Elephas maximus indicus: one gene and its partners. The protein of the gene in region 2 interacts with the protein of the main gene of each other region in a pairwise test. Links are inferred from orthologs where the notes say so. Each region holds a gene or a part of one and is shown on either strand. Other genes may lie near its edges. The genes, in order: RNF144A, UBE2L6, DTX3 and RNF125.

The links.
Region 1: the proteins of UBE2L6 (region 2) and RNF144A interact in a two-hybrid assay, tested with the Homo sapiens proteins (2 studies listed by BioGRID and IntAct). The link is inferred for Elephas maximus indicus from reciprocal best matches to the Homo sapiens genes UBE2L6 and RNF144A.
Region 3: the proteins of UBE2L6 (region 2) and DTX3 interact in binary tests that used the Homo sapiens proteins (3 or more experiments, as listed by UniProt). The link is inferred for Elephas maximus indicus from reciprocal best matches to the Homo sapiens genes UBE2L6 and DTX3.
Region 4: the proteins of UBE2L6 (region 2) and RNF125 interact in a two-hybrid assay, tested with the Homo sapiens proteins (3 studies listed by BioGRID and IntAct). The link is inferred for Elephas maximus indicus from reciprocal best matches to the Homo sapiens genes UBE2L6 and RNF125.

What each region holds. Positions count from the first base shown.
Region 1 is NC_064830.1:15,958,370-15,965,629, reverse strand, and holds the start of RNF144A (E3 ubiquitin-protein ligase RNF144A), read right to left. Parts: upstream 3,003-7,260; 5' UTR 2,915-3,002; intron 1-2,914. UniProt on the Homo sapiens protein: E3 ubiquitin-protein ligase which accepts ubiquitin from E2 ubiquitin-conjugating enzymes UBE2L3 and UBE2L6 in the form of a thioester and then directly transfers the ubiquitin to targeted substrates.
Region 2 is NC_064825.1:118,989,282-118,996,528, reverse strand, and holds the start of UBE2L6 (ubiquitin/ISG15-conjugating enzyme E2 L6), read left to right. Parts: upstream 1-4,238; 5' UTR 4,239-4,387; coding exon 4,388-4,414; intron 4,415-7,247. UniProt on the Homo sapiens protein: Catalyzes the covalent attachment of ubiquitin or ISG15 to other proteins. Functions in the E6/E6-AP-induced ubiquitination of p53/TP53. Promotes ubiquitination and subsequent proteasomal degradation of FLT3.
Region 3 is NC_064822.1:117,496,085-117,502,967, reverse strand, and holds the start of DTX3 (probable E3 ubiquitin-protein ligase DTX3), read right to left. Parts: upstream 3,003-6,883; 5' UTR 2,859-3,002; coding exon 2,841-2,858; intron 1,757-2,840; coding exon 1,692-1,756; intron 1,506-1,691; coding exon 1,431-1,505; intron 1,091-1,430; coding exon of another isoform or gene 1,072-1,090; coding exon 342-1,071; intron 1-341. Other genes in the region: PIP4K2C (phosphatidylinositol 5-phosphate 4-kinase type-2 gamma), read right to left, coding at 6,342-6,422, 6,610-6,713, 6,864-6,883. UniProt on the Homo sapiens protein: Regulator of Notch signaling, a signaling pathway involved in cell-cell communications that regulates a broad spectrum of cell-fate determinations.
Region 4 is NC_064829.1:39,483,166-39,491,016, reverse strand, and holds the start of RNF125 (E3 ubiquitin-protein ligase RNF125), read right to left. Parts: upstream 3,019-7,851; 5' UTR 2,964-3,018; coding exon 2,800-2,963; intron 1-2,799. UniProt on the Homo sapiens protein: E3 ubiquitin-protein ligase that mediates ubiquitination and subsequent proteasomal degradation of target proteins, such as RIGI, MAVS/IPS1, IFIH1/MDA5, JAK1 and p53/TP53.

The DNA of each region.
Region 1 (7,260 bases), on a different chromosome or scaffold from region 2:
CAGAGAGAGCTGAAAAGCTGATGCCAGACTGAGATCAGCCACAAACACTTTGTGAGGCCTGGGACTCATGGCCTCTGCCTGTAGTAACTCTGATCTATAGTAACCCACCTAGATCTGTAATTCTCAATCCATGAGGACACATTCTCTTTCCCTGCAACTACTACCAGAGAGAAAAGTTCCAAAGAGGGAAGAGGTTTGAACAAGGTCCACAATGGGTCTAAACTGTCAACCACGGTGGAAAAAGTAGTGTTCTAAGGGTCAGGCAACACAGGTCCTAGTTTTTGACCCTGCCACTGCCTGGCTGTGTGGCACATTCACCACCCTGAACCTCAGCAGTTTTAATTAAGTAAGCTCTAAGGGCCTTTCATGAACCCACATCACCACACTCTAATAAAGATTTCCCTACAGGAATTAAACCATCAGACTGGAGCGTGCTGGCGTACATTTATAAAATATATAAATCTCAAAGTGCTCCCCAGGTTTTCCAAACCTCCCTGGCATTGTCTCATGATTCACTCCATGACTGCAGATTTGTCCCCCTCCCGCTGAGCTTCTGAATTGGGCTCCATCTATTCCCTTGTACGGGTACGGGCACTGGGTTCAGGCCCTCTGCAACGCCATAAATTTCAAAACTCAAATTGTGCTGGATCTGCAAAGTTTGCATCCTATTAAAATTAGGTTATCTGCATCCCAATTTCTCAAGTGGTCTTCAAATCACGTGTGGCCCCTTTGGCAAGTGATAAAGGTGGAAGCCAAGGCCAAGTGCGTGTCCGACTCTGAAGCCCAGGCTCCATACATTGAGCCATGCCTGGTCCTTTCCCAATTGAAACAATCACTCTGAAGGCTTCATGACTTATCCCAATCCGACCTCTGTAGCCATTATTTCCTCCCCACTCATTAAAATACATTTAGAATAAAGATTAAAAAGGCACTAGAAAACAGAAAAACACAAGGTCACTTCTCTCAGTACTGTGGAAGAGAACACAATCAAGCAAACATTTGGTAAAAAAACAACTGGGCTCCAAGGCAACGTTCACTGGTGTATGCTGGTGTTTTCCTCCCTTTCTTTTGCTCTGCTAGTTCCCTCCACTTGGGGTACTCCTGCCCCTCCCCCCATGTTGGATCTGACCCACCTTCAGTCTTTGATTCAAATACCACTTCCCTCACAGGGTCTTCCCTGGCCCCCTTCTCTTCCTGCCTCTCCCGAACTCCCTCTTTGGAATTTCCACAGTCAGGGGAAGATGACCCAATAAGCAAGGTAAACACAGGCTTACTTGTGCTTACTTTAGTGAACAATTTCACGTGAGTTTCATCACACTCGCAGGGGTTTCACCACATCTCTGCTTAGGAAGCAGGCACAAGTAAACCAGTGCTTACCTTGCTCACTGGGTCATCTGTCCCTGTCAGGGCTGGTAAATTAAAAAATTTAAAAAGGTGCTGTGAGGTTGGGGGAGAGACAGATGCCAGCCACACCTAGAAGCAGAATCTTTGATGTGGTGAAAAAATGTGAAATTGTTCACTACAGATTACCTGGTAAGCAAAGTAAGCACTGTGCTTACCTTCCTGCCCACAACTCTTCATCTGTACCACCTTACTTTCTGCCTTGAATTTTATTTATGAACATTCTATCTGCTCGATAAACTCTCACCTTCAGGGCAGCCTCTACCCCGATTCACCCATACAAGTCCCCCTCACCCCTCACGTTGCGTTCCCAGGAAACTGCCTCCCATAACTGTTGAACGCAAGACACTTGGTCTCTCTCCAGTGCAGGCATTTATTGCAGCCGGGAGCCCACTTGGGATACTTCCCTGGGGCCTTATTTGGCCTGGCACAGGGCACTCATGTTGAGTGGATATATATACATTTAATTATTCACCGGAAAACAGGAGAGACAAGAACAGAGAGAGAGAGACATAGAGTGAGAGAGGGAGGAAACTTTGAGTTTGATCCCAGGACAGTTGATCCCTGTCCTGGGATCAGGATAAGAAGGCTTAAAAAAGCCCAACAAAAGGTAGAACAAGTAACCCCTCCCCCCATTACCATTAAGCAATCCCTTTTTTTATCTTGCATAAGCAAACGAATAGCTGGGAACTAGCGTGTAGCAGAGCTGGGAGCAGCTGCTGGAGGGTGGGGTTGGGGTAACACCAGCATCCCAACCCTCTGCAAGACCTGCAGGGAACTTCCGGGCCAACCAACTGCCCTGGCGGCACAGATGAGGGAAGAGATGCAGGGCGCACCCACCCAGTAGGGGAAAGGTGTGGAGGTAGGAAGAGACGCTGATAGCTATGGTCATCGTAGGCGCCTGGGGAGGACGTTCAAAGCCGGAGGGCGAGAGGTACCCCTAGCCGACTTGGCTCAGCCCTGACCTTCCCCGCCTCTTCCTCCCTCTCGGCTGGGTCCACCCTTTTGGAAGACTTAGCGCGGACCCGATGCCTCCAGCTCTGGGGCCTGCGGGCGGGGCCCTTCAACAAAGAGAGGGCACTCTGCGCGCCAACTCGCCAGCCGGACCCTAGCGCGGGAGCGCTGAGAGGCGCATCGCTGCAAACTGGCGCCCAGGCTAGGGGTGGGTGGACGGCGGGGTGGATCCGTGGTTCTCAAAGTGGTCACGGCTCTGAGGCGCGAATGCAAGCCCAAGCGGACCACCGAAGGGTCAGGGTGGAGGTCTGCGCGGAGACAGCGAGTCCCCGCCTCAAAGACCTTCCACCCGCCTCCAGCCCCCCCACGATCCCAGCGCCCCGGGCCAGCGGCTCCGGCCACGCAGTGGATTCCGAGATGTGGACTCGGGAGGACCAGGGCTGGGCACACGGCGGCAGCGGGAGCCCCAGAAGGCCGGGTCCACAAAGCCACATCCCTCCTTCCCGCTGGGTCCGGCTCCCGATGCCGACACAAAGGGGACGCGCTCGCGTCATCCTACCTGGTCCCGGCGCCGTGCGGCGGCTTCCTCGGGTCTGCTACCGCCAGGGCTCTCGGAAGCAGCCCGGCTTCGGCTCCTCGGCCGCGGCGACAGCGCGGGGCTCCGACGGCTTTGCCCGGGTGCGCGCGGCCCGGCGCCTGCTCCCGCGGTGCTGCTGCCGCCGCCTCCACGCGCGCCCCGCGCAGCCAGCCCTGAGCCACGCAAGGCTGCTGCTCTTTATTTCATCCCCACCCTCCACCCCTTTTTTGCAAAGCCAGCGAGGGGAGGGGAGGATCTGCGGCGCGAGAGGTGGGGGCCGCTAATCGGCACACAAAGACGCTGGGAAACGTTGGAGGTAGCCGTTTCCCTTTGAAAAGGGCCAAGGCCCCCGCCCTGGGCGGACACAGCGCCCTCTGGTGCCCATGGGGCCTCGGCACGGGCTGAGCGCGGCTAACTTTCAGTCCTGGCCTTCCAGGCGTGGTGCCAGGCTGCCTGGTCACCCCGGGCCTTTTAGCAAAGCTGATGAATCAACCAAATCATGATAAAGACCGCTGATGATCCGGGAAATGAAAATGCGATTTCTTATTTTAGCGGTCTCCAAAAGATGGCCCGCTGATTTCAGATGTGTCGGGGGAAAATACCAGCGAACTGGGAAAGACATGGGTGACCCAACCAAACACGAACTCTTCTAAGCCAGGTGCTGGAAAGATCATGAAGCTGGGCAGTTGGAGCCCCGGGCTCTGCCATAGACCAGAAAAAACATGAATAAACCATTTGGCTTCTCAGAACCTCAATTCCACACTCTGTCATATGAGGACGTTGCTAATGAAGGCTGAGGACTTTCTTTGCTAAACTAAATATGAAATCTCTTTTCACCCCACTACCTGGTTTCTCTGATGGGTGGAGAATAGGAGGCAACCTGGACGTCCTATCAGGCTTTTGGATACCTGAAGTTCACCTGTAGCAATTCAGTCCTAATTATTAAGGCTTCTAGCTTGACAAAGTCTAAGATCTGTGAAGCGAGAGTTGCTGTAAGATATATTTTTGCCACTCCCTCCAGTAGTTGGAAGTTATACATGTGCTAAATTACATGCCTTTCAGATATAAATATATGAACAATACCTATGTATGTATAGGAAAGAATCCCTCCTTCAGCCCATAGACTGTTTTCTCCAGAGTCATAGGGAAAACTCACTATAGTATCTTCCTTCCTTAACAACATGCCACCATACTGCCTGGGCTAATTTACAGCTCTACTATCTACTAGCCTGGTGACCTCAGTTAAGCAAGTTACTTAACTTCGTTGTGCCTCCATTATTTGGAAAATGCAGGTAGTAATAGTATGTATAGCATAGAGAGTTTGGGAGGGATTAAACAAGCCAGATACCCATAATGCAATTATCAACATAACCAGCAAACTGTTAGGACTCTACCATGATCCTTAACTACTATTTATCTCATTCCCAACAGTTAAACTAGAAGATTCTTAACTATCTTGAAATTCTGCATAATTTGTCTTCCTGAGCTACACGCACACACATAGTTGTTAGGTGCCGTCAAGTTGGTTCAGACTCATAGTGACCCTATGTACAACCAAACGAAACCCTGCCGGGTCCTGCACCATCCTCACAATTGTTGATAAGTTTGAACCCATTGTTGCAGCCACTGTATCAATCCATCACATTGAGGGCCTTCCTCGTTTTCGCTGACTCTCTACCAAGTATGATGTCCTTCTCCAGTGACTGGTCCCTCCCGATAACATGTCCAAAGTACCTAAGACGAAATCTTGCCGTCCTGGCTTCCAAGAAGCATCATTCTGGCTGTACTTCTTCCAAGACCAATATGTTCATTCTTCTGGCAGTCCATGGTACATTCAATACTCTTCACCAACACCATTTTATATATATTTATATGTGTGCATTTGTATCTTATGCTTTAAAAAGTTACTCAGATAAATATTTCTTCTCTTCAAAGATATGAATGAGGACTTTCCTTCTTATGCCTCAGCTTCAGTCAAATTATTTGTAGAAGTTTCACTCTTAATGAGAAATACACAATGGGAGGGGTCCTAACAATAGCATTTTGGGACTTCATCCTCTCACTAGAAGATAAAAGTAGCTCACCATTAAGGTCTGGGCTTCATAAACTGTATTCACACCTCCCACTACTAGGGAAGTACTAGCATGACTCTTACTTATAAATGGATAATTAAATGAATGAATGGATTGATCACTGCAAATACACCAAGGAGTGGGGAGGAAACTCCTTGCCATGGAGTCCATTTTGACTCCTTGACCCTATACGACAGAGTACAACTGCCCGATGGGATTTCCAAGGCTACAAATCTTTCTGGAAGCAGACTGCCACATCTTTCTCCCATGGAGTGTCAGACTGCCGACCTTTTGGTTAGCAGCTGAGTACTTTAACCGCTGCCCTACCAGGGTTCCTTGTGCAGATACACAGAATGCAAATTACACGATGGCTTCGTACTGGATGATAAATTGAGATTCAGACATTCATGTGGAAAACAGAGACATAGAAATCAAGTTGGGGGACTGGGGAGCAGCATCTGGAGCTGAGAGGAAGAGGTTGATGTGGAAAATCAACCCCTTACCTAATTGCATAATTCAGACTGGTAAGTGCTGATGCAGTAAATTCCGTGATTTAATTCCCATGTTTGGTTCGTTTGTCTTTGTTGGTATGATCGTTGTTGGGGAGAGAGTGCTTCATCATTGAAAGTACAGCTTGTAGCAGCTCAAAAACAATGCATCTCAAGTACGATTTTCTCTAGGAAGTCTACGCAAGACAACTTTGCTTTCCTCTTCACCAAATATCTGAACAGTGTAAGATGTAGTTCATTTCTGTGTTGATTATGGCATCTGTCACACACCACTTCATGCTTTGGGTATTTGCTCTTGGATGATTAGATTTTAAAATTCTGTAGAGCAGTGACGCCATCATTTTTCTATGCATTCCCCTATAGGGCCTTGAGCATAATAAACACTCGGCAAATAATGAATGTAATCATCTACTTTGGGCTGTGCCCCTGGGCCACTGTCCTCTTTTTCTCCAACAACCATCTGCCTGTGTCTCTCAGAGATATTTTCATCCACCACACAGCACCCTGTGCCAGCCATGAATGCAAAGAAACCATCTCACCCAGAGGTTTGTCATGGCGAGCCTCATCCATTGTTCCTGTGTGTTTGTGCCTAAGGGAAGTGTGACTCATTATTCACTCACTGAACAAGAGTGTTTTTGATTATGTACTATGGGCCAGATTCTGAGCTCAACGGTAAACACCTCGGAGAATTAGTACCTTTGTAAATGGCCCAGAGGCTGGAAAAATGGAAACACATCCTGAAGTTTCTCCTTGAGGCACAAAATCGAGAGAAGCATGAGATTCGCAGTCATGGCTTAAAATAGACCAGAGTTTGAATTCACATTTCTTTGATGTCTAAAATTCAGTTCAATTCCTTAGTTCATGAGAACGGCTAGAAATTAAATGTCAGTTACTCTTCTTTTTTTTTTTTTTTTACTGTCCTGACTCTGCCTCCCTCCCTAAGGGCATACAGGAATCTAGGGGATCACATCATCCTAGGAATATATAATAAAACCTTTCCTACCTAACCCATCATAGGTCTACTGATAGTCTTTTTGTTCAGGATCTGTGGTCTCTTGAAAGCAAGCTGCATACAGCTCCTTATCCAGGCTTTGGGCACATTTTTTTTTTTTTTCCTAAATCCAGGGTCAAAACTATACAGCTCCCCAACACACCACACAACCGGTGAGGTTGTACCACTTCCCCAGGGCAATGCCAAGGAACAATGGAAAGGCCCCTGCTACTCTCGGGGTCTTCTTGGGAAAGCTTCCCTTGTTCACACTCTTGCCTCCCTCTCCTTGAAGGCCTCCTCTCTCTCTTTCCCAAGCTACACTTCTTAAATATCCTCTTTGGTGTGTGTAACCCATTGCTGGCGAGTCGATTCCAACTATTAATGACGCTATAGGACAAAGTAGAACGGCCCCATAGGGTTTCCAAGAAATGGCTGGCAGATTTGAGCTGCCGACCTTTTGGTTAGCAGCAGAACTCCTAACCACTGTGCCACCAGGGCTCCTCAGCGTGTGTAGGCATCCACATAATACAGGACACAGAAAAAAACACAGGGTTCTAATTATTATCTAGAATCTATGGGGGAAGAGAAAGCAACTCTATATTACTATCACAACGAAGTATGTGGTCAAAATTACAAAGAATAAGAGCTTAAGGAAGACAACCAAAACTTCAAGAAAGAAAGTACAAGAGAAGAAGAACATTCATTTATCCAGTCATTCAACAATAGCATCTAGAGGACACTGATGCATGACCGCAA
Region 2 (7,247 bases):
GGGCTCATATTTACCTTGTGTCTTTGGTGTTCTTCATTCGCTTTTGCTCCAGGTGGGTTGAGACCAATTGATACATCTTAGATGGCTGCTTGCTAGCTTTTAAGACCACAGACGCCTTGCACCAAAGTGGAATGCAGACCCTTCTTTTAATACATTTTGTTATGCCAATTGATCTAGATATCCCCTGAAACCATGGTCTCAAGATCGGCGTCCCTGGTCCCTGCTACTCTGGCTTTTTAAGCTTTTGGCTGTATTGAGAAAATTTCTTATTCCCTGCAACCTTTTGTCATCTACAAAGATGTGCATCTCTTCTACTCATTGTTAAAACCCCAAGTCCACAGAGTAGGTCCCTTTGCAGTGTCAGCACAGGGCCTCACACAATAGGTGCTCTTAAGTGTTGTAGATTGTATGAATAAATGACAGGGACTGGATCAGAGAGAGGAAGGAAACCTGGTGGCGCAGTGGTTAAAGCACTCAGCTGCTGGCTGAAAGTTTGGCAGTTTGAATCCACCAGCCACTCCTCAGGAGAAAGATATGGCAGTCTGCTTCTGTAAAGATTACAGCTTTGGAAACTCTATGTGGCAGTTCTACTCTGTCCTGTAGGGTCGCTATGAGTTGGAATAGACTAGATGGCAACAGGTTTGGTTTTGGTTTTTGGATATGTATGTATGTATGTATAGAGAGACAGAGAAGACAAATGAAATGGCTCATGTGTTTGTAGAGGCTAGCAAGTCCCAAGCTGGTGGGGTCAGGTGTCAGGCTAGAGGCTTCTCCTGACTCACATAGCTGCAGGGCTGACGAAACCCATGATTGGCAGGTAAGACCGCAGGCTGCTGAGTCATAGGCTGCAGAGGCTGAAGAATCCCAATATCAGTAGGCAATACTGCAGGCCACTGGCTCAGATCCCTAGAACCAGAAGTCAGATGATGATAAGCTGGATGCAGGATTCAGAGCAAGAGAGTGAGCTTTGCCAAAATATCCATATATGGTATGCAGGCCACACCCCCAAGGAAACTCCCCTTTCAACTGATTGGCTGCTTGCATCAGATCACAAAATAGAGGATGATTACATCAAATCACAAAAATGGAAGGTAACTACATCATTACATAACTGCCAAATCACATCATTATATAAATTCCAAACCACTGGGAATTATGCCCCAGCTAAGATGATACGCAACCTTAACCATCACAAAAACCCTACAGAGCCAAGTTCTACTCTAACACAAAAGGGGTTGCCATGAGTTGGGGTTGCCATGATGAGTCAGAGTCACTATGAGTCCGAGTCACCTCAAAGGTAACTGCTTTTTAACTCAGAAAGATATGTCATTGCCCAAAGGCAGAAAGCTCAGGAATCTCTGTTCCTCCCACCCAGCACCCCCTGGGCAGGCAACTGGCATCATTTAAATAATAATAAGTATTATTATTATAACTATCGCTTATTGCCCACTGTTCTAAATTCTTAAGTTCTTTACAAGTATCAAATTATTGCCCCTCACGTCTACCTGTGAGGTATATACTATCATTAGTCCCATTTTACAGATGAGAAAACAGAAGCATAGACAGGTTAAGTACTCTGCCCAAAGTTATTTAGCCAATAATGGTGGAGTTGGGATTCCAACCTGATTATTTATATCTTGGGCTTGCTTATAATTTTTGAAGCTCCTCCACTTCCATGAGCTTAGCTTTTCCACAGTCCTGGGAGGCAGGTAGGTCCACTATGAAGGGGTTAGGAAGGTTCCATGGCCCACCCAAGGCCATACAGTATGTGTGAAACCAGAACCCAGGCTCCTGGCTCCCAGCTCAGGGTTTGTTCTGACAACAAAGGTCCACATTGTGCAAGGATGTGACATATGGGTCACCCAGCTGTGCAGGACGGAGCTGGATCCATACACATATATACACACAATGCAGACACATATACACATTCACTTCCGGGCAGGCAGGGGCACTGGGGTCACAGCCTGCCTGCAGGAATGCAGCGTTTCTGGAATAGAAGGGAAGGAGAAACAAAGGGCATAGGCAGAAACTTTTGCTCCACATCATGAAACCACTTTCAGTTTCCATATATACTGCCATCATGTCTTTAATCAGGCTGTTCCCACTTCTAGGAACACCCTCCTCCCATGTTCTCACTCCAGCTAACCTATCAGACTTCACAACTCATTTAGATTTTTAACTCTTCCAGGAAAGCTCGCTCCTCACCCCAGGGCTGGGTACAGTGATGGCCCTCCTCATTTCCATAACACCATATGATTGCATGTATCTTCATGTTCACCTCTTTGCATTAAAAACACAGAGGCTACATTCCCTCCCCCCGTCCCTATAATCTGAGAGCTCCTTAAGGACAGAGACCTCACTTTCTTACTGTGGCATCCCCAGTCCCTAAGGGCAGTGCCTGGCCCATGGCAAATACTGAATATTAAGTGTTTGTTAAGGAACCAGCCAACGGCTCCTGGAGAGAAAGACCTGGTGATCTGCTCCTATAAAGACTACAGCCTAGAAAACTCTATGGGGAGCTCTACTCTGTCACATGGGGTCCCTATGAGTCAAAACAGACTTGAAGGCACTTAAAACAGCAACTGAGAAGATTGACCAGACATGGGTTCAAATCCCAGCTATTGAATTCAGTTTCCTCATCTTTAAAACAGAAATAAGTCTACTTGCTTTAGGGGATTTTAGACAGTGTCCTAATCATTCCTGGCATATAGAAGATACTCAGTTCAAGTTTGTCGAGTTAAACATCGTTTGTCCTGCAGATACATCCCACATCTGAGCAGAGAAGTCAGTTGGTACCAAGACAAAAACTGTGTGATACTGTTATGGATTAAATTGAGTCTGCCCCCAAAATATGTGCTGGACTCCTAACCCCCATGCCTGGGGATGTAATCCTGTCTGGAAATAGGGTTTTCTCTGTTATGTTAATTAGACCATACACAGTACAGTGGGCTCTAAATCTAATCACTTCTGAGTTACAAAAAGAGTACATGAGATGCAGAGAAATGGGAACACCAGGAAAATGGGGGACACGCTATGTGTCAATCATCTATAAGCTAAGGGACCAAGGAATGTTCGGAAATACCTACAAGGAAGGAACTGATACCACCAAGACCCCGATTTGGACTTTTAGCCTCTAGAACTGTGAGGAAATAAATTTCTGTTCTTTAGAGCCACCCACTGTGGTTAAAGCATTAGGTAATTAAAACAGGTACCTAACTCTGAATCTGGTGCTCAAAATATGCCGATTTCTTTCCTCATCTGAGCTGAAGTGGGGGGCTGGGAGGGAGGAGAAGAAGGGCTCAGAGTCTAGGAGATTCTGGGAGTCCCGAGTCTGGGAGGCTCTTTCTCAGACACTGCTGCTTGGTACTCAGGGGCTGCTGTTTCGCGGTGGGCTCAGATTCGGCTGGGGCAGGGGTCTCTGCCCTTGCCCAGAGGGGTGGAGACGCCTGCTGTGTATGGGGGCACATAGTAGGCCCCCAGTGTGTAATGGATCAGGGATAATATAAGGGAGGCTGAGTAGCTTCCCCTGGGGGAAGGCTCCTGAAATCCGTCTTGGGGCTTTCCCACCCAGCTGTTTCCCAGACGAGCATGAGATCGGCGCTGATGAAATACTAAGCCTGGGTTTTTTGGTGGGCAGTCAAGGACCGAATGAACAGGCGACCGACTCGCAAAAACAAGAGAGAAAGGGTCCAAACAGCGCCTCCTTGTGGGGCTTTTCACCAAGCACCCTTCTGGGAGAAACATCCTTGTAGGTCCGCCGCCGAATGCTGGACAGCACAAAGAACCCCAAACTCTCATTTTTAGAGATGGGGCACTGGGCGCAGAGAGAAGAAGGGTCCTGTCCAGGCAGGTCCAAGAGTTTGCTAGACGAGGGGTTTAGGGCAGTGGTCTGACGGTGGAGGCCGCCGGGGGACCTGTCGCGGAGCAGAGTTGCATCCCTGCATTTACTTAGGGTGAGCGTGTATTCAGGACGACGAGGAGCCGGCTGATGGAGAGGAGTCCCTGGGACAGTCCCGGGCAGAAACTAGCACCCGGATGAGCAGACCCCAGCCCCGCGCTCTGCGCGCTCACCGCCTGATGCAGAGCGCCCCCTACCGGGACTCAGAGACCAGGCACGCCGCGCGCTCCAGGGACCATCCGTGCCCCCCAACAAAGATCGCGAGCTGTCCGGATCCGAGCGCGCGGCTCTGAGGCCTGGCCGGGTTCTCCCCGCAGGGCCCCCTCTGTCTTCGAAAAGCCAGTGGGGAACAGGTCTGCTGCGTCCGGCGACCGCACGGGCGGAGCGGAGCGTAGGCGGGGCTCCCGGAGGTGGGGTCCCCGGGGCGGGGCGCCTAGTCTCCTCGCAAGGTCGGCTGGAGTCCGCTAGTGCCCCACACTCGGTTCCGAGATGTCAGCGAGGAAGCGGGTGGCGAAGGTAACTGCGTTTGGGACACTCCTTCTCCCCCGCTCCTCCTCCCTCCATCTCTTTCCCGATTCCCTCCCCCCTCCACCCCTTCCTCGGCTCCCTGCCCCCTCCGCCCCTTCCCGGGCTCCCTACTCCCTCCATCCTTTCCCCTGCCGGCTCTCCGAGCGCTCGCAGTAGTCCAGGTACTGGGGCCGGCTGAATGCCTGTCATCTCCTGCTCCCTAACCCCAGGGGAGAAGGGGGTCTGCGAGGGGTCAGGGAAGTGTTTTTGGGGGGAGGGGGCATATGGGGTGTGGTGTCGCTGGTTCCCTGAGCCGTGCTGGGGGTGGAGTGAGCCGATCGGATTCCCCCCCCGCCCCCCCAACTGGTTTCAGTTTCACTTCTGCCAGAAACTTGTGAGAACATTTACGTGCGTCTCTGGTGCGGGGAGGGTTTCCTGGCCTCATCCTGGTGGCAGGCGCCCTGCTGTGGGTGGGGAGTGGGCTATGCACAGAGATAGGGGACAAGGTACTTTCCTCGGAATAGTCTATGGCCCGTCCTCTGGGCTGATACCTGCTTGACTAGGGTCCAAAGCAGCATGGGGTGCTGACCCGGAGTAGGTCAAAGTTCCCTGAGCGCTCTGTGGAGAAGATGCTGAAGCAGAGCAGGGAAGGCTCCTGGAGACGGTGGCGCGCGCCTGCCTTGTTCCTTGTTCTGCAGTTGCTGTTCAATGCCTACTGTATGCTGGCCCTGTTCTAGCTGGTAGGGAGGCAGAGGTGAACAAAGGACACAAATCCCTGCCTTCCTTGAGCCTTCGTTTTAATCAGGGACACAGTTTGAGATGAGGTCTGGAAGGATGGGGATGGAGCAAATTCCACCAGGAGGTGGGAAAATCCTGGGTGGTTGGGGGGGGCTGGGGTGTAGCTGGAGATGGAGAAAAATCCTGGTGAAGTGGATCTGACACCCCCAGACTCTGAGTTCCTCTAATCTGCAGAATGGAGTGGAGGGGCTGAGGGGAGTGCCTGCTACCCCCAGCCTCTGAGAAGAAGAGGGTCTCAGTCTGGGTCACCCAGAGTAGGCTCAACCCAGAAGAACTGAAATCTGAAGGGCGACTGCTAAATGGAGCAGGGGTTTTTCCAGTAGGAAAGAGATGGAAACCAGTATTTATCACACTGGAGTTCCTGTGTGGTGCAAACTGGTTAACACACTTAGCTGCTAACAGAAAATTTGGCAGTTCAAGTCTACCCAGGTGCCTTAGAAGAAAGGCTTGGCAATCTACTTCCCCAAAAATCAGCCATCGAGAATCCTGTGGAGTACAGTTCTGCTCTGACACACATGGGGTGGCCGTGAGTTGGAATCGATTAGATGGCAGCTGGTTTTATTTATCACACTGGCATCATTACGTGCCAGGCAGTTTACATCAGTTGTTTCATCCAATTCTCACAGCAACCCTGTACTCCCATTTTACAGATGAGGAAATTGAGGCTCCGATAAAATAACTCATTTATCCAGGGTCACTGAAGAAGGAAGAGATGGGGCTGGGATTTAAGCTGGGTCCTCAGGACTCCAAACAGGCTCTTTCAATGGTCACTCTACTTTCATTTTCTCTTCCTCTAAGTCAGGTGATTTCTTAACAGGCCTCAGGAAGGAGCCTTGTGTCCTAGCTCAGGTTTCATCATCCTCAGGTGTTGCGAAAGCTTTGGCAGAACTCACCTGTAATAGATAAAATCCGAAATGTTCCTGTTAATAGTAAAGTCAGGGAAAAATGTCCATTCCAGAGCTTCTCTATTCACCCTTGGGCTTCATTGTTGCCCCCAAAATAACAGATGATACCGGAACCCGATTTGTAGTAAAAGATGCTTCTAGTTTGGGGCAAAAAATAAATGAAAAGTCATAGAATCTGGGTAGAAGGTGTGAGAAGCAGTGTGTTGGAGTGAAGGGGCGGGGAACAAAGGCGTGTTTATATTTTGGGAGGGGGAAATAGAAAGTTCGGATGGTCTACAATGTTAAAGGACCCCTTCTCAACTGGGAACTGGGTTTGGGGAACGTTCTCTCTGCCCTTGTTTCCACCAGAGCTTCTCAACCTCCTCACTATGGACATTTGGTCGGATAATTCTTCGTTGTGGGAGGTTGTCCTGTGCACTATAGGATGTTTAGCTGCATCCCTGGCCTCTACCCACTAGATGCCAATAGCATTCCTGCCTCCCATTTATGGCAACCAAAAATGCCTCCAGATATTGGCAAATGTTCCTGGGCGGGGGTGTGGAGGGGGGGGGCTCCGTAAAATTTCCTGTAGTTGAGAACCAGTGGTTTATACCCATTTGGTGTTTCACAGACGTATGACCTGCCCTTGAATGTCATTTTTATGTTGTTTTGAAAAAAATGTTCTGTCATCAGCAAAGGGCGAGAGGTTGCTTGGTCAGATCCATTTGAGAAGTACTGCATGCTATGGGCTCACGTTTTGGGGATTCACAATATGCAATAACAAATTAAAGGCTCTGGAAATCCCTGCAGTAAGGAAACCTGTTTAGCCCAGTGTTTCCCAAACATACTCATCCATGGAACCCTTTTCCTGTAATAACTATTGACTTTCCATGGGACATTTGCCCTAATTGGGCCTGTCTTGGTGCCCCTCAACTTCTCTGCGTGGTGGACTCCTGTTTATTCTGCATGGCCCGGCTCACCATGTGCAGCCCCTGTAAGCCTTCCTGTTCCCATCTCTCTCCTCATTAATGCATCCACACACGTCATTCTCGTAATTGCATTCATGTTTCCTCCATTACTCCATGGTTGTTCTTGAGGCTTGAGCCATGTCGTGGTCCCTAGAGCATGCTCAGTCAATGGCTGTTGAGGTCATTGGGTGA
Region 3 (6,883 bases), on a different chromosome or scaffold from region 2:
TCAGATCCCTCCCTACTGTGCCTGCCTGCACCGGAGCCTGATCTCCACAAAATTCACCCCTGCCGAGAATATTTGTCAACATCCAGGTTCATCAAGGAAATAGAAGTCAATTCCTTTCTCTCATCACACTTGATTTTCATGTGTGCCTTGGGGTCATGGGGATGGAAAAGCTGGGCCTCAAGGGGACCTCCTAGCCCCAAGGCACTAAGTAGGAAGGCATGCTGGGAAATGGCAAGACTGTATCACATCTAACAAACACACTCACCATCACTCAGTCTTTCTAGGTCAGAGAACAAGCTTGGGGGAAACCAAAGGGTGAGGGCAGGCTGTGGTCTTCTTACCCCCTGGACACCGGGCGGGAAGACATACTGGATGACAATGGTGCCGTACTTCTCATAGCTGGGCAGTAGCAGGGTGGCATCCTTAGAGACCAGCATCCGCCCATTCTGGGGCTGGTTGCCTACCAGCTGCCCATAGAAGCGGCCGCACATGGGGCAGGCCTTTTTCACCTGCAAGGCCCGTGTGATGCAGCCCTCGCAGAATGAGTGCCGGCACTTCTCCAACGTCTTGGCATTCTGGATCTCCCCCAGACAGATGGGACAGGTGCTCTCCTGCTCTTCTGCCTCCTCCCGAAGGCGGGGAGGAAGAGGGGGTGGGATGGGAGGGGGAGGAGGAGGAATCCCCCGTGCTCCTGGGGGCAGGAGTGGAGCTGCTCTGAGAGGGGGTGGGGCTGGGCGGTGCAGCTCTGGGTGCTCTCCCCCACCCCCCAAAGCCAGGCAGCCCATAAGCTCCCCCTGCCTCTGAGCTTTCTTCAGCTCTTTCTCTGCCTCTTTTAGCAGCCCCTTGAGAGCCTTCCGGGCCAGATAGAGCCCATTGGGAGGGGCTGGGGGTGGGCCCTGTGGGGAAAGCTGGAGAACATAGATGTCAGAGGTCTCGCCATCTATGAGGATGGCAACATGGTGCTCCTCCCGAAGCCGGGCCAGCCGCGCTGGAGTCTCCTTGCTCAGGAAGTCCCACACAGGCTTGGAGACAGTCACTTTGTTCTTGCAGGTGCCTCCACAGGCTGCCATTCTGGACAGGACGAACGACACTGCCCCCAAGGTGAAAGGGACTCAGGGTGGGGGGTCCCCATTTGACAAATATCAATGCCTCCTACTTCAGGTTCCTTCCAAATACTATATTGCCCCCCATTCTCTCAAGGCCAACTCCCAACTCTCCCCCCAGTCCATTTTCTATCTTCCCATATCTTCCAACCTCACCACCCCCTGAAGAACAAGAAAGTTCCTTTAACATCCTAGCCAAGCAATCAGTCTAGGTTCTCCTTACACTTCTCCCAAGATCACAGAAACAATTGCTCCCGCCCCACCCTCAGGGTGAAAAATGGGCTCTTTAAAGGGGAGAAAGACTTTTCAACCCTCCGTTTTGCTCACTTTGATCCTGAAGAGCTTAGAATTGGCATGCAGGCTCTCTCTCTTTCCCTGCTCCCTACTTGTGGGTTATATGACCTGGAGGGGTGGAAAGGAAAAGGAAGGAAAGTAAGAAACTCCTTCCCCCAGTACCCCCATACCTCAACCCAGCAGCCCATGTAGCAAAGACAGGAACCTGAGTATAGGTTACTGCGCATAGTATTACTTAGAACATGGAATGGAGAGAACTAATTTAAGAATGAAAGTTGAGGTTCCCTCAGGTACCTGGAAAGCCCATGGACAACGGTGACAGCAGAAATCGCTCTATTTCCACACTCAGCTGACCAGAACTAGGGGAGAATAAAGTGTTATGGTGGCAAACGTTAACATTTTCACCAGCCAGCCCAGAAACAAAACAAAAACTCCTCTTCCATTTCATCTCCCTCTCTCCTGCCTGACTCCATCCACAGCCCCTCCTCAAGCTGGTAAGGAAGGGACTGATCATGCTAACCTTCCATCTTTTCTTTCCAGCTATGAGAGCTTCAAGGTAATAGTCTGGAAGGGAAAAGCCTACACAGAGATTTTTCTTGCCACATGTTTCAGATCATAGGGACAGGAGTATTTCCTCGGTTCCCTAACTCCTCACCCTGCTCCACAGTCCCAAATCATCCAGCCCCTACTGCCAGAGAGCTTTCCTTAAGCCCTAACCTCAGTCCCTTCTGTTGCAGTCTGTTAGGAATGTGAACAAAGTGGCCACAGCCCCTGCAATAACAAAGTTCTCATTGTCACCTTTTAAACCCAGCACACCCAACGCAGCATAGCCCTTTAGCTCTCTAGCCTGCATTTAGGAGGGGTGGAGCTCACACAGGGGCTCTACTGGAGGGACCTGATGTTCCTCCAGTCTTGTCATATTCAGTTACAGGGCTGTTCGCACACCTTCAAATGCAGCTCCAACGGAAAGAGGAACCATTAACGTGACCTCAATTCTTTGACCGATGGAAAGGGGAGCAGCTGTCCGTTTGTGCCTCCATCATAGTTCCCTCAAGGCCAGATTCACCTCGACACTCAGAAAATGAAACTCGAACCCTGAGACCTCAGCCCCCACTGTCTATCCAGAATGGAAACCCACCCCCTCCATCAGAGAGGACCCAGGACCTAGGTGTCCTAGCTCCAAGTCCTGCTGGCAAAGAAAAGGGAGGCGGGGCCACAGTTTATGCTGGATCTGTGATTCCGCTGGAGCAACCCAGGCCGGACACCAGGCCAGTCCCTCCCTCCAGACAGATAGATGCTGGTGGCAGGGGCAGCCAGAAAGGGCAAGGGTCCCTGGGGGCATCCACTGAGGCAGCTCCACCCCTCCCCCCACGGCCTCCACCAAGACCCGACCCGGAACTAACCCCCCACACCCCTCTCTCGCCGGAGGCCCGGGAGACCCACCGGTGGGCGGGGGTGCATGTTGGCCCGATCGCGGCCCCCAGAACCTCCCAAAAGGAGGCCAAGGCTGGAGGATGGTGAAAAGAGGATTGGCGGGGCGTGGAGGGGTCCTCCGGAGCCGTACCAAAGGGAAAGGGCGAAGGAGTGGGTGCAGGGGAGCGGGGGGTGCGAGAGGGGAGAGAGCGGGGTCTGGGGGGTGCGCGGTGGGTGTGGGGGACGCCGGGCTCACCTACCTCCTGTCAGCGCCGCCATTGCCGGTCACATGACTGAGGCTGTTGCTGGGATGACGGTCCGGGCCTTAGCAACAAGGGGGGGAGACCCCGAAAAGGTGGGGAGGGTTGCAGGGGGTGAGACTGAGAGAAAGGAAAGAAGGGAGGATTGCACCCCCATTCCCCTTCACAGGTGATAATCACCGTTTCCGTTGACTCTTTAAATCCAGGGGCCCCAGTCCCTCCGCCCCAAAACAAAAATGGAGGCGTCTTCCAGTCTTTGGAGGGAGAGGGTGGCGTCGTGTAACAGAGGGTAGGAGGTTAAATCCCTTAGAAACGCTGCCGCTAGCTTCTCATTTACCCCTGTAGGGAGGAGCCCTTTCCCTTTTCTTTCCCAACCAGCTGCATGGCAGCTTCTCTGAGCTAGTGGTGGTTGGGTGGGTGGGGAGCGTCGGTTTAGGTATATAGGGATGGGGTGGGGGGAGGGAAGCGGTTTCTGAAATCCTTATGCCAGAAGGGCCTTTGAGGAACAATGTGGGATGGGAAGAAGAATCATAGTAAAAAGAAAAGCATTTGTTCTAAAATAAACAAACCCCAGTCCTAAACGATTTCATCCTCTCATCTCTTGCCTCTTCCTAGATTGTAACCGTCTGAGAGACGCCCCCCACCCCCTCCCCGCACCTGCTCCCAGCTGGGTATTGGTAAGTGCCTCAGATTTTTTTCTCTTTCCGCAAGTGGGGATAGGGAGTGTGATGCAGTATGGGAAGTGGATATATTTTTTAAGAAATGGCTTGGGGTCGTGGTGGCCTCAGGCCTATGGTTCAAATAGTTAAAAAACTCTCAAAAGGAAAAAAAAAAAAAAAGCTCTGCTGTTTCCCACATCAGAGCAGTCTCCGCCCCTGGCCCAATTCACTTCCCTGGGGCCACATCAAGCTAGGTTTCTCTGCCAGCCAAAAGACCTCCTCAGCCAAGAAGTACTGGATCTCCCAGACTAGCAACAACCTCTGTTTATCCACCCCCTTCTCCCCTCCCCCTCTAGGTTAGAGGGCTGGCCACTTTCTCCTTCACTTTCCCAGGACCCTTCCTGCCCTTCCAGGCAGAGATCATCTTTCCCAGGGAGGCTGGAGGAGCGCTGAATTCAGTTTCTCTTTTAATTTAGCTTGTGGGCTGAAGCCCATTCACCTTAACATAGTTTTGAGTGTGAACAAGCCCAGAGCCCTGGTGGCGGGGGTCGGAGCGGGGGTTGCATCATCTGTTTTCTCTGGCCCTTCTATATAGGGCTAAACTCCATGCCGTGAAATTGAAGGAAAAACAGTTTTCTATCTCCATGCTACCAGTGCCCCCATACAACCTTTTAAGTTCCCAGCCATCTGTCTAGAAATCCACATCCTTAGTTAAGGGCCCACATGCTGAAGGCCAGAATTTTTCATCTAGTCTTTGCACCCCTAAGAGTATGCTTCCTCAGAAAAGAAAGGAAAAAAAAAAAAGGCATTTCTGTGAAGGAATTTGGATTCAATAATTTATTTTTTATATTGTGACCGCAATAAAGAGTAAATACACATTTTTTATTAATTAATAAAACAAAAAAGACGAAAAACAGAAGCAACAAATGAAGACCATACTGCCCATGATACATCAGCCACATGGTCAGAAAACCCATTTCAAAAGAACAGTTGCTGGTGTCATGGAGTTTTATTGCATTCAACAGGGGAAAGGTAGATGATTGGAATGAAAAAGATGCATCAGGCCCCTGAAGAGAAGATACTATAGGAGCTCCAACTGCGGATTCCTCTTGTTTTCTCCTTTGGAGCAGAAGATGGAGGGAAGAGAGGGATTCTCCCTTATGACTTCTTGTGAGACAGATCAGTCCAGCCAGATACAGAGCAAAGAAACTTGCATCTCCACAAGCCAGGTGCCCATCTTTATGTTAGAAAAATATACAAGCCTCAAGGGGGATGGAGAACAGCAAGAATGGTTGCCTTAGCCCCAAAGCCATTGGAGGGGAGGGGACAACTTATCTCATTAGGGTCCTCTATATTCTGAGAATGTCAAGCATCAACTCAACTATCTTGTTGGGAGGGGGAGCGGTGACTGAGTTATGGCTCTGACTCCTCTCTAGGGGTGGAGTAAAAATGGCAAAGAAGGCCATCTGTCCCCTGGGAGACACAGTAGCAGTGTAAGGACAGAAGAGAACAGAATGACAAATCCAATGGGGAAAAGGGTTTGAGAGGGATGGGGAAAGGAAGCGTGCTAGGCACACACCTCCAGGGAGTAGGGGAGGTTCGCACACTTGAGACCTCCATCCTGTTGAAATGACCAGGATTGACCCAAGTGGGGAAATTCCCTTCTGCTGGGAATAAACCACAAGGATAGCTAAAAAGAAAGAAAGAAAGCTTACTATGGGAAATGAACTTCACACTCCTGGCATTTCATCCCAGCCTCTAGAACTGGCCACACACCCACTCAACGGTTCCAACACCACAAGGGGTGTGAGGCTTTGGTAATGGGCAGAAACAGTTAAAACACCTTCACCCAGGCTTCAACACTCTGGCCAGCTCTGGGCTTCTGCACCCAGAAGTACAGGTGGGTGGGGGTGGAAGTAGGCTGAAGGAAGAGATTAGAGTGGTCATTCCTTGGCAGAAATCCTCTGCAACTCCCTTCATAATCACAAAAGTCCTCTTAGGTCCCACCTCCATGAGGACCCAGCCTACTGACCACTCTCCACCTCACCTCTGTGTACAAGATTGGCCATATTTCATCATATGTGCATATGCCTGCACCCACATCTGTATCTTTAAAGTTCCCCATCCCAGGGTCTACTGGGATAGAAGCATGCCACAGTGAGTTCTATAAAGTTATCAGCAAAACCCAGACACTCTTAGTTCATCCTACACAGCGAAATGCATCCAGAGTAGTTGCTTGAACCAGGTCCATCTGTCCAGTCGGGTTCTGAAGACAGCAAACAACCCTGTTCCCTCAGCTCCTCCTCTTTTATAGAAACAACAGGACATTTTACAAAGGTCAAGGCACTTGGGAGGGTTAACAATAACACCCTAAAGAAGCAAAGGGACTTGTTGCAGGAAGGGAAAGGGAAAAAACGACAATGTATTTCTGAGGGCCAGAAGAGCCAATGCAATGAAATGGGAGTTATCTGGATGGATGGAGCCTGCAGCCTGAATTTAGCAAAGGAGGAAGAGAAGAAGTATTGGCCAGAATATCCCCAATTCCTCCAAGCCTCTCAGAATCCCACCACCTTGAACACAAAGCAGCAGTCACCAAGGAGTCAGGCAGCCTCTTAGGCAAAGATGTTGGTAATAAAATCCAGGAATCGCTTAGCATACTGCTCAGGATGGACAGTAGAGATCTCTGCCCCGGCCTGTGAGAGGAATATGGAACAATGTGTCAGGCCACCCCACCACCCCTCCCCATTCCCCACCCTCCATACCCAACCTTTCATCTTGCTACCACCCCACTGCTCTCTCTCTTCCCAAAGAACACTCAAGCCAGTGGCTCCTGATAGAGGAGGATGATACAGAAAAGGAAAGGCTTTGGGTAACCCTCACCCCATGCTTGACAGTTTTGGCTGCATGAGCTGCTTTCTTCTTGGCATCATACTGTGTTAGGATGTCAATGAGACCCATGAAATACACCTCCTTTTGGGGGGCCCCTGGCAAGGGAAACCAACAATGAAGAGCAGATACATTTCCAACTCCCTTGCCCCAGGAACTGGCCAGATCTTTTTTAAAAAGCTAACCACCCTGGTCTTTGTCTCCCAGGGACAGCCCTCCCCACCCTTAAAATTTCTAGGATCTCTCACCCTCAGCACTCCGGATGGCA
Region 4 (7,851 bases), on a different chromosome or scaffold from region 2:
CCAGATGTTTTTTAGGCAATTGGCCAACTTCCTGCCCAAGATAAGAAAAACAAGAGGCTGGGGTGTGCAGACCACAGAACAAGTTAAGACCAAATCTGGCTGCCTGACATGTGAAGAACCATCAATCCTGTCTTCTGGATGACCCCAGAACTTTTCTCCTACCAGTCGGAGCCAAACTTTATTGGCCCAAGATTGGAGGAAGACTTTCAAAGCCCGGGGTCCGAGCCCCAGATCCGGTTTCATACACCCTCCCCCCACTTTTGGACTGAGCAAGCAAAGACAAAGGAACTGCCCCAGGAAAGCCTTTTTTTGGGCCAGACCAATCAATGACCTTGCTCCTTTCCCCAGGGAACCTTCCCCTAATAAATACTGTTTAAGCCATTGTTCAGGAAGCCATCTTGGCGATAGAAGTCCTGGTGTGCGCCTTTGCTTGGCCAACCAAATAAAGCTGCTTCTTTTGCTTTCACCTGTTTCGTATCTCTTTGGCCACGCCAAGCAGACCTGGAACAGTCAGGTTACAATAAGGTACTATATATATACTCATTCAAGGTACTGTTGTCATCATTATTACACTTGTTTGACTTGAAATAGGTTTTTAAAACAGAAATTAGCATAAACAACCTAGTTCAACAAGTTTGGAAATCTAGCTTCAATACATTGTAATAAATTAGAGAGGTTTTATTTGCATTTCTTCATTTTCCAATTTGAGGTCAATGGAATACAATAATTCATTTCCAAAGTACAAATGGTGTTAACAGCCCTCACCATCTCCAGTGCCGAAGGGACTCTGGTTAACATTTAAAGTGGAAGGCATCCAAGTAAGTTTGCCAAAAGGAGGACTATGGAAATTCTGCCCACGGCCAGAACAATGGACATAGATTTGTCAAAACAAAGAACAGTAAAGTGAGGGAAGGCAATTTGTCCAGCCCTTATTATGCTATTTTATGACTATTTTTCCAGTTGCTGGTTTCCTATTCACTCCAACAAAGAGAAGGATTAAACAAAAGATCTAACATTTTGCAAATTTATATTATCCTTTAAACCAAAAAAACCCAAGCAGATGCAAAAACACTGCAAACTGTAACTTCAAAATCCAAACTGGGGAAAACAATCTCCAGTCAGATAATTAAAATAACAAAAATGCCCATCTCAGTTCTTAAAAAAGAATCTCCAAGACTTGATGCCCTATTGTGCATCATCCATGGTACACTTTTCAAATCTTAATGCTAATACAGTTTAAATTTAAATGTAGTTATTCTTAGGTTATTAGTGCCCTGAACTAATCAATATATTTTATGGTGTTAGACAACATCTTGACTTCTGTACTGACCCTTGGATAGTATGTCAAGAAGCTACATTTGGACAGCTGGGAAACCACACGAGTAATCACAAATGAGGTAGATTAGCACTGGGTTCAAAATACAAACCTGAAACAACAGGCCCGAAAAATACAGGCAGAAAATAAGGCCCAGGGCACTGTAGATGTAAACATTGTGTGGGCTGCATATTTTTCTCTCTGGTTCTCTGATGGGCTCTTCTGTGGTCAAAATTGCTTTTCTCAGGTACAAGGCTGTTAAGTGTCAAGAATCACCGAGGTCGTTTTAAAAGCATTTTTGCGCTTGCTTTTATAATATGGTCCCCCTCCCCCCTTTTCCTGTTAAGGCCAAAGCACTTACTAGCCACTGCGGTATTGCCCTGACGCTTCATCAGACTATACAGTAAGTCAGCAGTCCAAAGAAGACATTCAGTGGGTTTCCGTTCTTGCTCTGTTCACCTCTCCCCTGCCCCCCGCCCCCATCCATCCATCCACGGGAAAAAAACATCTTTTAAGTAAACGGAGAAAACAAATTCACAGATACAACTCCCGCTACTCGTTACTCAAACACACATTAAGAACGTTACAATTTTATATAGGGACTTCGTTTTTAAACTCTTCTTAGAAAATGATGCTTTGCGCTAACGGCGAATTTAAGTAAAACATTACGTCATTTTTTTTTAAAGTTGTTTTAATCTACACTGTCTATTGATTTGGCGAGGTGTGCGTAAAGCAGGTAGTCTAGGATCTTTCACTTTGTCGTTGAGTTTTAAGCGGCTTCATTCACTGGCTCCTTGCTAATACTCAAGCCCCAAGCCCCACCGTAACAGGTCTGGTTAAACTCTAATGACCACAGGAAGTCACTTGGGCGTTTCAGTTTGACTTGACGACCCGACAGGGGTCTGTCTGGTGTCTGTGTTGAGAAAGGGAGACGGGGTGGGGGTAAAAAGACAGTTTGCACAGATTTTTGTTTGCGCAGAAGCCTCAGTGAGCGTTCTGGAACACGTGCACGCAGCCAGCCACACAAAACCGGCCAGAGTTCCCTGGGGAGAGGAGGACACAGCTGTTTCAACCTACTTCAGCGGGATAATTGTGCTTTGGGGGTCCCTGCTGCTTGTAGTCCTGCGCGCTCGCTTTCGCTGCCGGGACAGGCTCTGGTTCTCCAGCCAAGACCATCCACCCCAGCTAGCGAGCGCTGGCTCTCGGCGTGACCCTGGTCTGGAATCTCCATCTCCGGGGTTCTGCACCTGGGTTTCGGGAAGAGGCTGCCGGGCCCGATAGATTATGGCTTTTTTTCCTCTCGAATTTCTGTCACTCCCGACTGGGCATTTTCTTGTGTCTTGCACCAGATAGGTCCAGGTTTCTTCCGGCGGCGTCTGCCTCTGGCAAAAGAAACCCCCCATACCCAGGCCCCTCCCCCCCCGCCCCAAAACCCTGCTCTCTCCAGCGGGTAGGAGAGCAAAGCCAGCTACCCCGGCACTTACACGTGGCCACAGCGGGTCCGCACAGGCTGGTGTAACACCTCGAGGCACACGGAACAGTCGAAGGACGTGACTGGCAGCTCGGGGCTCCCCCTGCGCTCCAGGTCCCGCGGGGTGGCCGAGGCAGGCGCGGATTTGCCGCTGTCGCTGCTCAGCACGGAGCCCATTGCAGCGCCTCTCGCCCGGGCAGCTGCTAAGAGCTCAGTGCCTGCAGCCGGGTTGTTTTGTTGTTCTGCGATGGAGGAAGGAAGTCCCAACCCAGCTGTGATCACCGCCTCCCAGCGCCCCCAGCTCGCTCGCGTAGCCTAGATCCAGCCTCCGCCGCTGCGCGCAACCTCGGCCAGAGGCAGACAGAGAAAGCGCCAGCGCGTCTGAAATGATCTTTCGTTAGCTGCCGGGGGTTAAGTGATGGAGGAGGTGGCGGCGGCAGCTGCACAGCACACGAGCTGCAATGTCTCGTGGTCCTGGGAGGATTGAAACCTGAAACCTCAGCTGCAGAGGAGGACCTTGGCCTGCAGTGTACCTTCCAGGCTATGACATACATCCCCACTATCGTAAGTTAAGGAAAATGCTGCCTGGCCATGCCTTTATGGGAACCAGGGAGCATCCACAAGTGTTGGTCCTATCAGTTTTTGTAGCTTATTATAATTATTTGTATGACTGATTGATCGCTCCTAAGACAGTGCCAATCACTACTTTGGTCATCTAATCAATGCTCCGTTAATGGAGCATGCATAGGAGGCAATGGAAAACACCATGGCTTGGGTCAGGTGCACCCTAGTCTTCAGGGTGACATCTTTGCTTTTCAACACTTTAAAGAGGTCTTTTGCACCAGATTTGCCCAATGCAAGGTGTCTTTTGATTTCCTGACTGCTGCTTCTGTGGGTGTTGATTGTGGATCCGAGTAAAATGAAATCCTTGACAACTTCAATCTTTTCTGTGTTTATCATGATGTTGCTCATTGGTCCAGTAGTGAAGATTTTTGGTTTTTTTATGTTGAGGTGTAATCCATACTGAAGGCCATGGTCTTTGATCTTCATCAGTAAGTACTTTCAAGTCCTCTTCACTTTCAGTAAGCAAGGTTGTGTCACCTGTATAACATAGGTTGTTAATCAGTCTTCCTCCAACCCTGATGTCCTGTTCTTCTTTATATAGTCCAGTTTCTGGGATTATTTGCTCTGCGTACAGATTGAATAAGCTATAGCCCTGACGCACACCTTTCCTGACTTTAAACCAGGCAGTATCCCCTTGCTCTGTTCAAAGGACTACCTCTTGATCTATGTACAGGTTCCTCATGAGCACAGTTAAGTGTTCTGGAATTCCCATTCTTCGTACTGTTATCCATAATTTGTTAGGATTCACACAGTTGAATGCCTTTGCATAGTCAATAAAACGCAAGTAAACATCTTTCTGATGTTCTCTGCTTTCAGCCAGGATCCATCTGACATCAGCAGTGATATTCCTGGTTACCTGTCCTCTTCAGAATCCGGCTTGAATTTCTGGCATTTCCCTGTGGATATACTGCTGCAGCTGCTTTTGAATGAACTTCTGCAAAGTTTTACTTGCATGTGATATTAATGATATTGTTCAATAATTTCCGCGTTCGGTGGGATTACCTTTCTTGGGAATAGGCATAAATATGGATCTCTTCCAGTTGGATGGCCAGGTCACTATCTTCCAAATTTCTTGGCATAGACAAGTGAATACTTCCAGTGCTGCGTTCGTTTATTGAAACATCTCAATTGGTATTCCGTCAATTCCTGGAGCCTTGTTTTTTGCCAGTGCCTTCAGTTCAGCTTTGACTTCTTCCTTTGGTACCATTGGTTCCTGCTTATACGGTATCTCCTGAAATGGCTGAACGCCGACCAATTCTTTTTGGTATAGTGACTCTGTGTACTCCTTCCATCTTCTACTGTCACATATTTTGGATGTGTTATCAGGAGAGACCAGTCCCTGGAGGAAGGACATCATGCTTGGTAAAGTGGAGGGTCATCAAAAAAGAAGACGACTCTCAATGAGGTGGATTGACACAGTGGCTGCAACAATGGGCTCAAGCATAATAACGATTGTGAGAACGGTGCAGGACCAGGCAGTATTTCATTCTGTTGTACATAGGGTCACAATGAGTCTAACCGACTGGACAGCACCTAACAACAAACAACAACAAGCATGGAGTAGAGGAAGGAGTTCTGGAGACCTGGATTCAAATCCCATTCTGGAATTCTAGTGCTAAATTCTGTGATCCTCAGATTCCTTGGCTCAGGATCTCCTGCTATTAATTTTACTCTCTCTTCTTTTCTCCTGCTATTAATTTTACTCTCTCTTCTTTTCTTCTCTCTCTTTTTTTTAAAAACATGACCGAGCATATCATTCATTCATTAATTCACCAAGGACTTATTTAGTGCCCCGTGGCACTCTATTCTGATGATGGGGACACAGTTCTGAATAAGCAAACAAAATCCCAGTTCCCTCAGAATTTACTTTAAAAAACTTTTTATTTTGAGATAATTATATATTCACATGCAATTGTCAGAAATAATACCCAATGCATAAAATACATAATTATACATAATGATCCTGTATATCACTTTCCCCCAATCAGAGCTTACTTTTAATGAGAGGATATAGTAATTAAAAAATAAATAAATGAACAGGATTTCAGAAAATGATAAGAGCTATGAAAAAGATAAAACAGAGAATGAGAATGGAAAAAAGGATACAAGGGTCAGAGAAAACTTTTTGGATGAAATGCCGTTTAAGCAGAACCATGAATAATGAAACTGAGTCAGCCATTCAAAGATTGAGGAGAAAACCTTGCCAAGCACTGGTAACAGTGAGTGATGCAGGAACAGAGAACAGAAAGAGGACACAGGGAACTGGAGCATGGGGAATAAAAGCAGGAGATGGGGTGAGATGTGGTCAAGATGTGGGGAGAGGTGGTCAAGGTTCTGATCATATCCAGTCTTACAGGCTAGGACCAAGAGCTTGGAGAATTTATTCCAAGTGTCACGATTTGATTTATACATATGACTTCTGTGTAGACAAAGGACAGAAACAAAGCAAGAATGGAAGCAGAGAAACCAGTTAGGAGACCATGGTTAAGAGACCATAATGGCTCAAACCAACAAGATATCTGGGTAGAAGGAGAGAGGTGGACAGGTTTAGGATATATTTAGGAGAAAGACCTAAAAGGGCTTGCTGATGAATTGGATATAGGACTGAAGTAAAGACTATCACTCCTGTCTTTAAAAGAAAAACAAAAGCTCTCCCTTGATCCAGCATGTCCCTCAGCTCCTGCCCTATATACTCTTTAAGGCCAAATTTCTTGAGCTGATTATCTGTCTTTTGTATCTTGATTTATTAATTATCCACTGCTTATCCAGATAAATTTGAATTCTGAACCCACCACTCTACCTCCATCTCTCCAAAAACTGCTTCATCATCAGTGGTGACCGTCATGTGTGGCTAAACCCGATAGCCTCTTTTCAGTATTTTTCGTGCTTTACTTCTCAACTATATTTGTCAGTGTTGACCACTCCCTCCTTGTAGAAACACTCTTTAGCTTTCCTTTTTTTTTTTTTGGCTAATCTTTTGCAGTCTCCTTTGCTGGCATCGCCTTCTTCATGGAAAGGCTAAGTGCTAGTGATCCTAGGATTCTACCCCGGGTCCTTCTCCCTTTTCATTCCTCACTCAGTCCCTAAGAATCTCAAAAATCCCATGGATTCTGTTACCATCTAAATTATAGAGAACTTGAAGCCTTTGTCTTCACCCCAGGCCACTCAAATGCCCTTCTTACTTGAAATCACTACACTGGTTGCTTCCTAGACACTTTAAGATCAACATGTCCAATAATGAACTGATGATTGTAGCCTTTCATCTGCTCCTACTGAATTCTGAGTGATGGCACTGCAATCCACCTGGTAGCTCATTCCAGACACCTGTGAGTCATCTTTGATTTTTGTCCTATCTCTCTCTCACATTGAATCAATCACAATCACAATTTTCTGTCTGTAATATACCTCTTAGTAGTTTTTGAATTGGTTCACTTTTCTTCACTCCCATGGTCACTTCTTATTTTAAATCATCACAGTCTCTTGTGTGACCTATTCTAATAGTTCCTAATTGTTCTGCCTGCATTCACTATTGACACCCTTTACTCTATTATCCACGTTGCAACTAAGGCAATCTTTTGAAAAGGAAATATGTTACACCATGCTTAAGAATCTTTAATAGCTCTCCGTAACTCTTAAGGTTAAATTCTAAGTCCTTAACGTGATCTACAATGTCCTGCACAATCTGACTCCTCCAATAACTGTAATCAGTTAGAATACCTTTGGTAGAAGGCAATAGATATCTAACTGTGATCATTAAAATTGTGTGTCAACTTGGCTGGGCCATAATTCTATTTGGCAGTAATGATATAGTTTGGCAGTCGTATGATGATGTGATCACTTCCATGATGAGATTTGATCTATTGTGATCACCTCCATGATGGGACCTGCTGTGAGTAGCTAATCAGTTGAAAGAGAGTTTCCTTGAGCATGTGGCCTGCATCCGATATAGGTGGACTTTCTGGCAAGGCCCACAGGCTTTTGCTTGCTGTGGATCCTGTAACTGGCTCCTGTTCATCTGACCTCCAGTTCTTGGAACTTGAGCCAGCAGCTTATCTGCTGTCTTGCCTGCCAGTCTTGGCATTTGTTGGTTTTCATAGCCTGCTCTCTGACCTGCCAGTCTTGGGTTCACCAGCCCCTGCAGCTATGTGAATCAGGAGAAGCCTCCAGCCTGACCTGCAGACTTGGGATGGCCCAGCCTCTACAACCGTATGAGCCATTTCCTTGATATAAATCTGTATGTATATTTATATACTTTGCTGGTTTTACATCTCTAGAGAATCTGGCCTAAGACACTAACTAAAAGTGACTTAGTCAATAGGATATTTGTTATTTATTTTGGTAAATTAGTCCAGGGGTAAGCAGTTCCAGAGCTGGTTTAACAGAAAAATAATGTCATCAAGACTTCAGTCTTATGTCTGTAGTGTCTCCCTCATGGCAGAAA